2 linked regions of the Coturnix japonica genome follow. The protein of the gene in region 1 interacts with the protein of each later gene in a biochemical or structural test. Links are inferred from orthologs where the notes say so. Each region holds a gene or a part of one and is shown on either strand. Other genes may lie near its edges.

Region 1 (3,816 bases):
GAACAGGGAGGCTGATTTTTGATGTTGTGGCCTGGAGGGAGTCTGGGCTTGCTGAGCCATCATCCAGATCCTTAGCCATTCCACTCAAGAAAGCAGCCTCTGGTTCAGAGGACGGACCGTTCATATGGGGGGACTGCCTCGACTCCAACTCTTTCCTAGGGGCTGCAGCTGAAGAAGCAACTTGTTCCAAGTCCACAGAGAGAGGGAGAGTCATTGGCTCTCTCTCTGCACAGGTGACCTCATCCTGAGTCTTTGACACTGAAAAGCGCCCCACTTGATCTGTTGTTGTTGTTACCTGAAAGCGTCCAACCTTAGTAGGCTGACCATCATCTACTGGCAACTGCAGCACAGGAACTGGCTGAGGAATACCATGTGCTACAGCCTCGCTTTTCCGCCCGCCAGCCTGCTTTACCAGGGTACTCTCTGGACTGCTGCCAGAAAGAGGGGAGGAATCAGAGGAGGTGGTTTCAAATTGCAGAGGCTTAGTCTCAGGTTTGTCACTCTCTTTCAGCACATCATCCACTGCCACAGACACCTACAATAGAAATGCAATCATGTAGACCTTCTAAGTTCTTCCTTAACATGATGCACTTACTTACATTACATAGCAGAAGCATATGAGGGGGGAAAATAACTAGTTTCCCTGAAATGCTACAAACTTCCCTCCACATAAAATAGCAGTTCAAGATAAACTTCAAAATTAACTCCAACTACACAGCAGACTGAGAGGGGGCTTCCTCCAAGAACAGTACATAATAAACGCCCCAGCAAAGTTAGCCAAAGAGCAACTGATATTAAAGACAAAGGCAAACAGTTAAACAGTTAAGGTCTGACAAGATGAAATGCTATATTCATAAACTAGACCGTGTATACTCTAGCGCAGTCCCTCCTGTGAATGAGAACAAATAACAGTGTCTGCACAAAATACTGCAGCCACATACTCAGTATGGATATTTTTGATATTTTCTCTCATCAAGAACACCTTCCAAGAGGTGCACTGAATGGGCACCAGGCAGTAACTGCTTGGTGAGGATTCTCTATGAGCAACCAAATCAATTTAACATAGAATCATAGAATGGTTTGGGTTGGAAGGGACCTTTAAGATCATGCAGTTCCAACCAACCTGCTACAGGCAGGGACACCTCTCTCTAGACCAGGTTGCTCAAAGCCCCATCCAGCCTGGCTTGAATGCTTACACGGAGAGGGCATTCACAACCTCACTGGGCAACCTGTGCTGGTGTCTCACCACCCTCATAGCAAAGAATTTAATCCTAATATCTAGTCTAAATCCACCCTCCTCCAGTTCAAAACCATTTCCCCTCATCCTGATGCTACCTGCCCTTATACAAAGTCCATTCCCAGCTTTCCTGTAGGCCCCTTCAGGTACTGGAAGGCTGCTATAAGATCTCCTTGGAGCCTACCTGAAACCGTCCCATCTTAAGAACACCAGCTCCTGTTGTGGAAGCTGTACCACTGCTTTCTCCACCACATGATGCTGAAGCTAGAAAAAAATAGATAAATAAAGGAGAATTGGATTGAGAAGAAAATAAGCAGGCTTTTGGATTCATGGAATCTGGTCTCCTTTCTCAGCTTTGCCATGTTGAATATCAAACTAAAACTTTAAAATTAAGTATTTTTCTATGAAGTTCCATTGTGCAGTACACCTGCCAGAAGTGCAGTTCTACACTGTGATATATAAAGAAGAAGTACACTTTGATTTCAAGCAGGGATGTGAAATAGCCAAAAATAAATAAATAAATAAAAAAGAATGAAATTTATACAAGAAATGACATATTTCAATTCCATACTTATGGTGACTACATAAATTTCAGTACAAATTCAGTACATTTAAGAAATGGTATAAACATTTACTCAAAGCAGTGTGAGGCCTTCAGAGCTGGATCCTTAGATGGTAGCTCCTAATTTTACTGTCGTATGCCCTAGCAGTATAAGGTTACAAAGCTGTGAAATAACATTCTATTTTTAAACCAATTCTGTTGGACAGCTCGTTGGGTTTATTCAGTAACTCTCCACTTTGCATACTTTTACAACCTTAAATCAACAAGCAAAGGAACTCATTTTCTAGTAGGAAAGTGAGCTTAACTGTATAGTTAACTATCAAGCATACCAGAAAGGGACTGTTTTATTTTCCTGTTCATTTTATTAACTTTTAAAGTTTTGACATTGAACTTGAAAACTGAATGTTGTTCACTAAATAAATTTGAAATAACTTTAGAAGCAAATTAACAGTTCCTTTTTTTTAAAAAAAAAAAGAAGAGTTTTTTAAATTGCAATGAGTGGGGGAATACCGAGTGTTAAGACTCAGGCTATTCTTGAAGTGTGGGCTGTTTGGTTGCACCCCTAATAATTAAACAAGTTTTGAAAGCCATTTATCATTCACGTTTCAGTCATAGTCACCCCTCCACTGTTCAGAAAACAGTCCTTTTTTCTTACTATGTTTTCTTACTTAAGTTTAGCCCCCACCTTTTTTTTTTTCTCCAAATAGAAATTAAATACTCCAGTTAAGGGGAGATACCCTTAACACAGAACACAGCATGGCAACACAAAATGGAAAGGTTTTGCAATTGCTGTCAAGAATATCACGAGAGATAGGAAGTAGTCCTTTCAAATTGTCAAGCTGTACCTTAGGAGCATACTGAAGGTTCTTTGCAAGGTTTAATTATCATTTTAGTCAACTTTAAATACAGAATTACCATAATACGCATGTTCCACTCTGTTCTCTTGGTCTACAGTGGAAAATGTCAGTGTAGTTGCTAAAAACTAAAACAATTCTTAAGGAGTTGTCACTGTATCACTTATTAGAAGAGGCTATTATTTTCAATACTTTTGTAAAGTTTTGTTTCAGTTTTGCATTAAATCTCTGTGCTAAGAAATCATCTGAAATAACAAAGGCTGTCTTACCATCTTTCAGAGACTGCGCTGCTGTGGACGCCAGACCAGTAACTGCTGTAGATGCTACTGAGGGCACAGACTAGAAGTTCAGAAGGGAAATAAAATAAAATAAAATTAATCAGAATCAATAGTTTGATTCAACTCCAAGTAATCTACAATAGTGCAAGTTACTATCAGGTCTAAAGGATGACCCATCACAGGACTAACACAGGATCTTTTCATCTCCAAAGCAAGAAACATCAGCAACAGATTTTGCATGCCTTGCAACCCAAGGCTCCCCGCAGAACCTCCCCCTTTACTCTGCAGAAGTAATGCATGAGTAGTCATTTAGCGATCAATGTTAATCACTGTCATCCTTTTATATCGATATTTTAACATAGTCTTAAGAACTGAAACCTATGCTTTAAAAATCTCTTCTAAATTACGACTGACTTCCCACATACTGCTTGTTTAGCACCCTCTTTTCCCTCGTTCCCAATCACTTCCCATTTTAGTTCTGTGATATTAATGGCTTTGCCAAAGAAGATGGGCTAAGAACTAATCCCAGAGCCAGCCTCGGGAAATACAGTGTCTATTGCAACCTACATATTTTCTCCATTTTGCTTGGCTCTGTCCCGCACACTGAAAGATGACTCTTTGTTTTTACTTTAGAAGCCTATGGACGTGTGTAGTGATATTAAAGGCAGTGATTTAAGTGCAAGAACTTGAGAAAACACTGGTTACTCGAGACTGCATTGATACTCCAAACTTACACAGGCAGGAGCTGATGTCACTGGAACGGTCTCTGGACTAAGGGTTCTCCTCAGCTTAGCATCCAGATCTTCCAGTGGCTGCTGGGACTGATGAGAGAGGAAACAGTAAACAGCTGCCCCAGCTCAAGAAAAATACATATTTCTGAAAGTG
Region 2 (3,816 bases), on another chromosome or scaffold:
TGAACCAACACAGCTTTGCAAGAAGACCCAGTCCATAGAAATTTGGGATCAGAACTGAATGGACAACTGGTCCTTGCCCGATCCACTGCCTGCAGGGCCGTGTTGGGGCCCCACGGCTGCCACCCATCCCAGGGCACACTGAGCAGCCGCGTGACTGCGGGGCCTGATTACTGGTTAACTTGCTGCATGAGGGATTACACTTCTGGAGAATTCCTACGTGGAAACATGAGCAGCCCCAGCCCTGCTCTGCACCACTGCATTCCTGTCAGGTGACCTCTAAGGATCAGAGGGTTCTCCAGTGATTTTTTTTTTACTTCTAAACCTTCCTGTCAGGAACCAGCATCACAAACACTCCCCTCCCCAAAGCACCCAGTGCCAAGGCTCCCCACAGAGCAGCAGTGCCATTTACCTTTGCACCCACACAGATAAAGCCACGTGGCAAACTTCACATCTTGTCTAACATTCAGACATTGGTTCACACTTAAGCTTCTTATGGAAGGGAAGGAAAGATGCACAAACAAGAGGCTTTTTCCCAAGAAATTCTGCATTTTGCTTCTAGTATGGCAAATAAATCAAAGCCTAACCTCAAGGTCTGTAAAAGCAAGAAGCACCCACAATGCCAAGCTGACACTGTTGGATCTCTCTGGAAAAGGCTCTCTACTCTTCAAGGCCATAGACCAAGGAGTACAAAGCACATGCAAACACCATAAAGAGCTGAAGCTCTGAGACCATGGCAACCATTCTCTGCAGCATACATTTACCTTGGTTATGTCAGTTCCTATCCTAGAAAGGAGGACAAGGAAAAGGAAAGGAAGCTAAGGTGCTCCTGACCATACTGACGTTACCAGAAGGACCTAAATAAGTTGGCTAATGCCTGCCTTGGGACCAACACAGCTCTCCTTGCTGTCCCACCCACTGACAGCCATGGCCTATAGGGATCAGGTGATTGGGGCCAGAATTCTGCCCCCTCCTTCCCTTCACATTGAGGTTGCATCTGCCATTACCAAAATACACGGGGCTGTAACAATGCACCCTGCAAGAAAACAAAGTAAAAACACAGAGCTACTAATGCACACTGGGATCCAGAGAACCACAGTGTTATTTTGGGCAGCAGCAACAAGTGCCATGGGAGATTAAACATCCGTGACCACGAATAAGCATCTGCAGGGCTGGGCCTCAAAACTACAACTTTTGTGCCAGCAGCTTCTTTGATGTGAACAGGGCACAGCACGTGTGCCTGATGTTAACAATGTGTGGTTTCACGACCCAAGCATTTGCTGAGGAATAAAAAACCACCCACAGCAAACCAAGCCCCACAGTAACCTTCCTGTGTGAGTGATATTCTGCATGCTCCCCCATAGCCTGATGCCGCCCCCAAGCCCATTTACCGTGCCCCAGTGCAGGGTCTGCTGCAGAGTACCTGTAAACATGGCACAAAAGTAAGGGCTGCAGGCTGCCAGGACCACGCGGTGCGCTTCCATCTCCACAGTTTCTGCCACAATCACTACATCACAGAGCAGTCGTTTGCTGGAAAAACACCAGAATAGACAAAGATTGTTTCAGAACTGGTAAGGAAAAAAAAACCCAAACACAACAAGTACATTTTATGCCTGAAGAAGCAAGCAGAAGTCCTACTGCTAGGAACAAGGCACTTGAGCCTTTAGGGGACAGCAGTCAGGCCTGCAGCTTACCCCTGGGCCTGAGAACTTCCCTACCCCATGACTTAGGTGGGATTAAGAGTCACAGGAATAAAACAACGGGTTCCAAACACAACCAAATAACTTCTATGCTCCCCACTGAATCACTGTATGGCTTTAGAAAAGCCACTTCATTAATCAGTGACCTTTCCTAGCAGCCCCACGTATGTCCTTTGAGGATTCATTAGTTAATGTTTGCACAAGGATTGGAGATGCAGACAGTGAGGAGTGCTCAGCCTCCCAATAAGTTGGTTTAAGATGTTTGAGCATACAAATGCAAAAATAAAGGCGTTCTTTTCAAATGTTAAGCCTGAAAAAAAAAAAAAAAATAGTTTAGTGCCTGCAAATCTAGATGGAGCCGTCTCATCAGAAATGCTTATCAAAATGCTGTGCTTTCTCCCGGGAAACTACACATCAAATAAATACATACAAAACTCCCCATGGTCTTGGCATGTCTCCTCCTCCTCCTACTCCATGGAAGAAGTAAACAAAATGATTTGTGAAATGGAGGGTTACTGATGGAAAACAGAATGAAAGTAGGAACTGACAATCTTTGTTCTACCTTCATCCTCCTTTGGAAGGGATGAGGGCAGTAATGGGAGCTCTTTGAATCGGCTCTTAAGGGAAGCTTCCGTTTCCTCCAACTTATGTAAAAGATGCCCCATTCAGTTCCTCTATGGACTATAGTTATTTAAAGTACCGCTCGTTAAAGTTAATTCAATTTACATTTGAAAGCTAAAAATTCCAAGTGAGCAATATATTGCAAATAGGCTAAAGGCTCAGCAAGATTCTTGGTGACCCTCAGCTTGGGACTGCTCCATCTCCACTCGGGATTTCTCCGTGCATTTGACCTAAGGCACAATTATTCAAGGTAGCTATTAACACTGACTGTCGACAGCTTAATGGATCACAAGTGTAATAGACATGAGAACTGTATATTCCAGAACAGCAGCAGGGGCTGAGGAGGAGGGTACCTAGAAAAAGAAAACATCAAATAGGTTCTTAAGGGCAGCTTTCTATTCTATCCTGTATGTTTTATCCCTTCACCATTACACAAGACCTAGCTGACTGCAGGCACTGAGAAACACTGTCAGTCTCCAGCTATTCCCACTGTGCTTCAATTAACAAAGGAATAATAGGAGCACAATAGATTTCTGAATATAGCCACACAAACCTCTATTTTCAGATCTTTTGCTTTCAGTACAAAGAGACGACTAGAAGGATGCCAATATTAAAAAACCATACTTTGCTTCATTTAACTGTTACAAGGGATGGACATCTCCATTTTCTGCTCCTTACGCAACTGAGAATCCCTATGAGACATCTGGAAGAAGACATTTCTCACCCTTCTCTGCACTGGAGAAAACAGACATTGGGAAACTACTAAATCCACAGAAGCGAGGTGCTACAGCAGCCTCTTTGGAGTACTCTGAGCATGCAGAAAGAGTAAAGGCTGTTATCTGCTTTCATCGTGCCATCTGGAGAGAGGGAGCACACAAATGTGTACGACACGTATTTTTTCACAGGACTTCTTTCAAAGCTTGTGACTGCTGGAATGGCAAACAACTCAGATGAATTTGCTGTTAGAAATACTCCCTGAGCCTCTGCCTGGTTCTTGGGGGAACAGCTGAAAACCAGCACAGGTTTAACTACTGCCATCACACCAGCAACTGCTTCGTAAGGACTGTGCTTGCTTACATTTCCTCAGCCCCCATTCTCCCTATGCCCACACAGCTGTTTAAAGACACCAGGGTGTTCCTTCTTAACTGACAATGGCATTTTTTTTAATTTCCACATAGAGACCTGAGCTGTTAGTGGGGCTTTTTTCCTACTTTGAAGTGCTCAGCCCAGATTGAGCAACAGCCCCAGTTCAACGGAATAAGAACAGTACATTCATAGTCCCTGGTCTGTAATTATGTGTAGGTGTCTTTCTGTCTGTAATATTCTGTTACTGGTTTTCAGACCATTAGCCCAGCTAAGAACATAGTTTACAGCTAAATTTGCTGTAAGTAATGGAAAATGCTACATGAATTATCATCACTACAGTGAAGGATATCACTCAAATAACTTCTTGAGCTGCTGTTGGCTTCCTTCTGACTGGAAGACAGGCAATGTGAGA

Evidence for each region.
Region 2: of the proteins of WNK1 (region 1) and KLHL3, one has a biochemical effect on the other in vitro, tested with the Homo sapiens proteins (2 studies listed by BioGRID). The link is inferred for Coturnix japonica from reciprocal best matches to the Homo sapiens genes WNK1 and KLHL3.

Annotation. Positions count from the first base shown.
Region 1 is NC_029516.1:52,104,817-52,108,632, forward strand, and holds part of WNK1 (serine/threonine-protein kinase WNK1), read right to left. Parts: intron 3,753-3,816; coding exon 3,666-3,752; intron 2,993-3,665; coding exon 2,923-2,992; intron 1,502-2,922; coding exon 1,422-1,501; intron 536-1,421; coding exon 1-535. UniProt on the Homo sapiens protein: Serine/threonine-protein kinase component of the WNK1-SPAK/OSR1 kinase cascade, which acts as a key regulator of blood pressure and regulatory volume increase by promoting ion influx.
Region 2 is NC_029528.1:3,626,485-3,630,300, forward strand, and holds part of KLHL3 (kelch-like protein 3), read right to left. Parts: intron 1,528-3,816; coding exon 1,421-1,527; exon of another isoform or gene 1,389-1,420; intron 1-1,388. UniProt on the Homo sapiens protein: Substrate-specific adapter of a BCR (BTB-CUL3-RBX1) E3 ubiquitin ligase complex that acts as a regulator of ion transport in the distal nephron.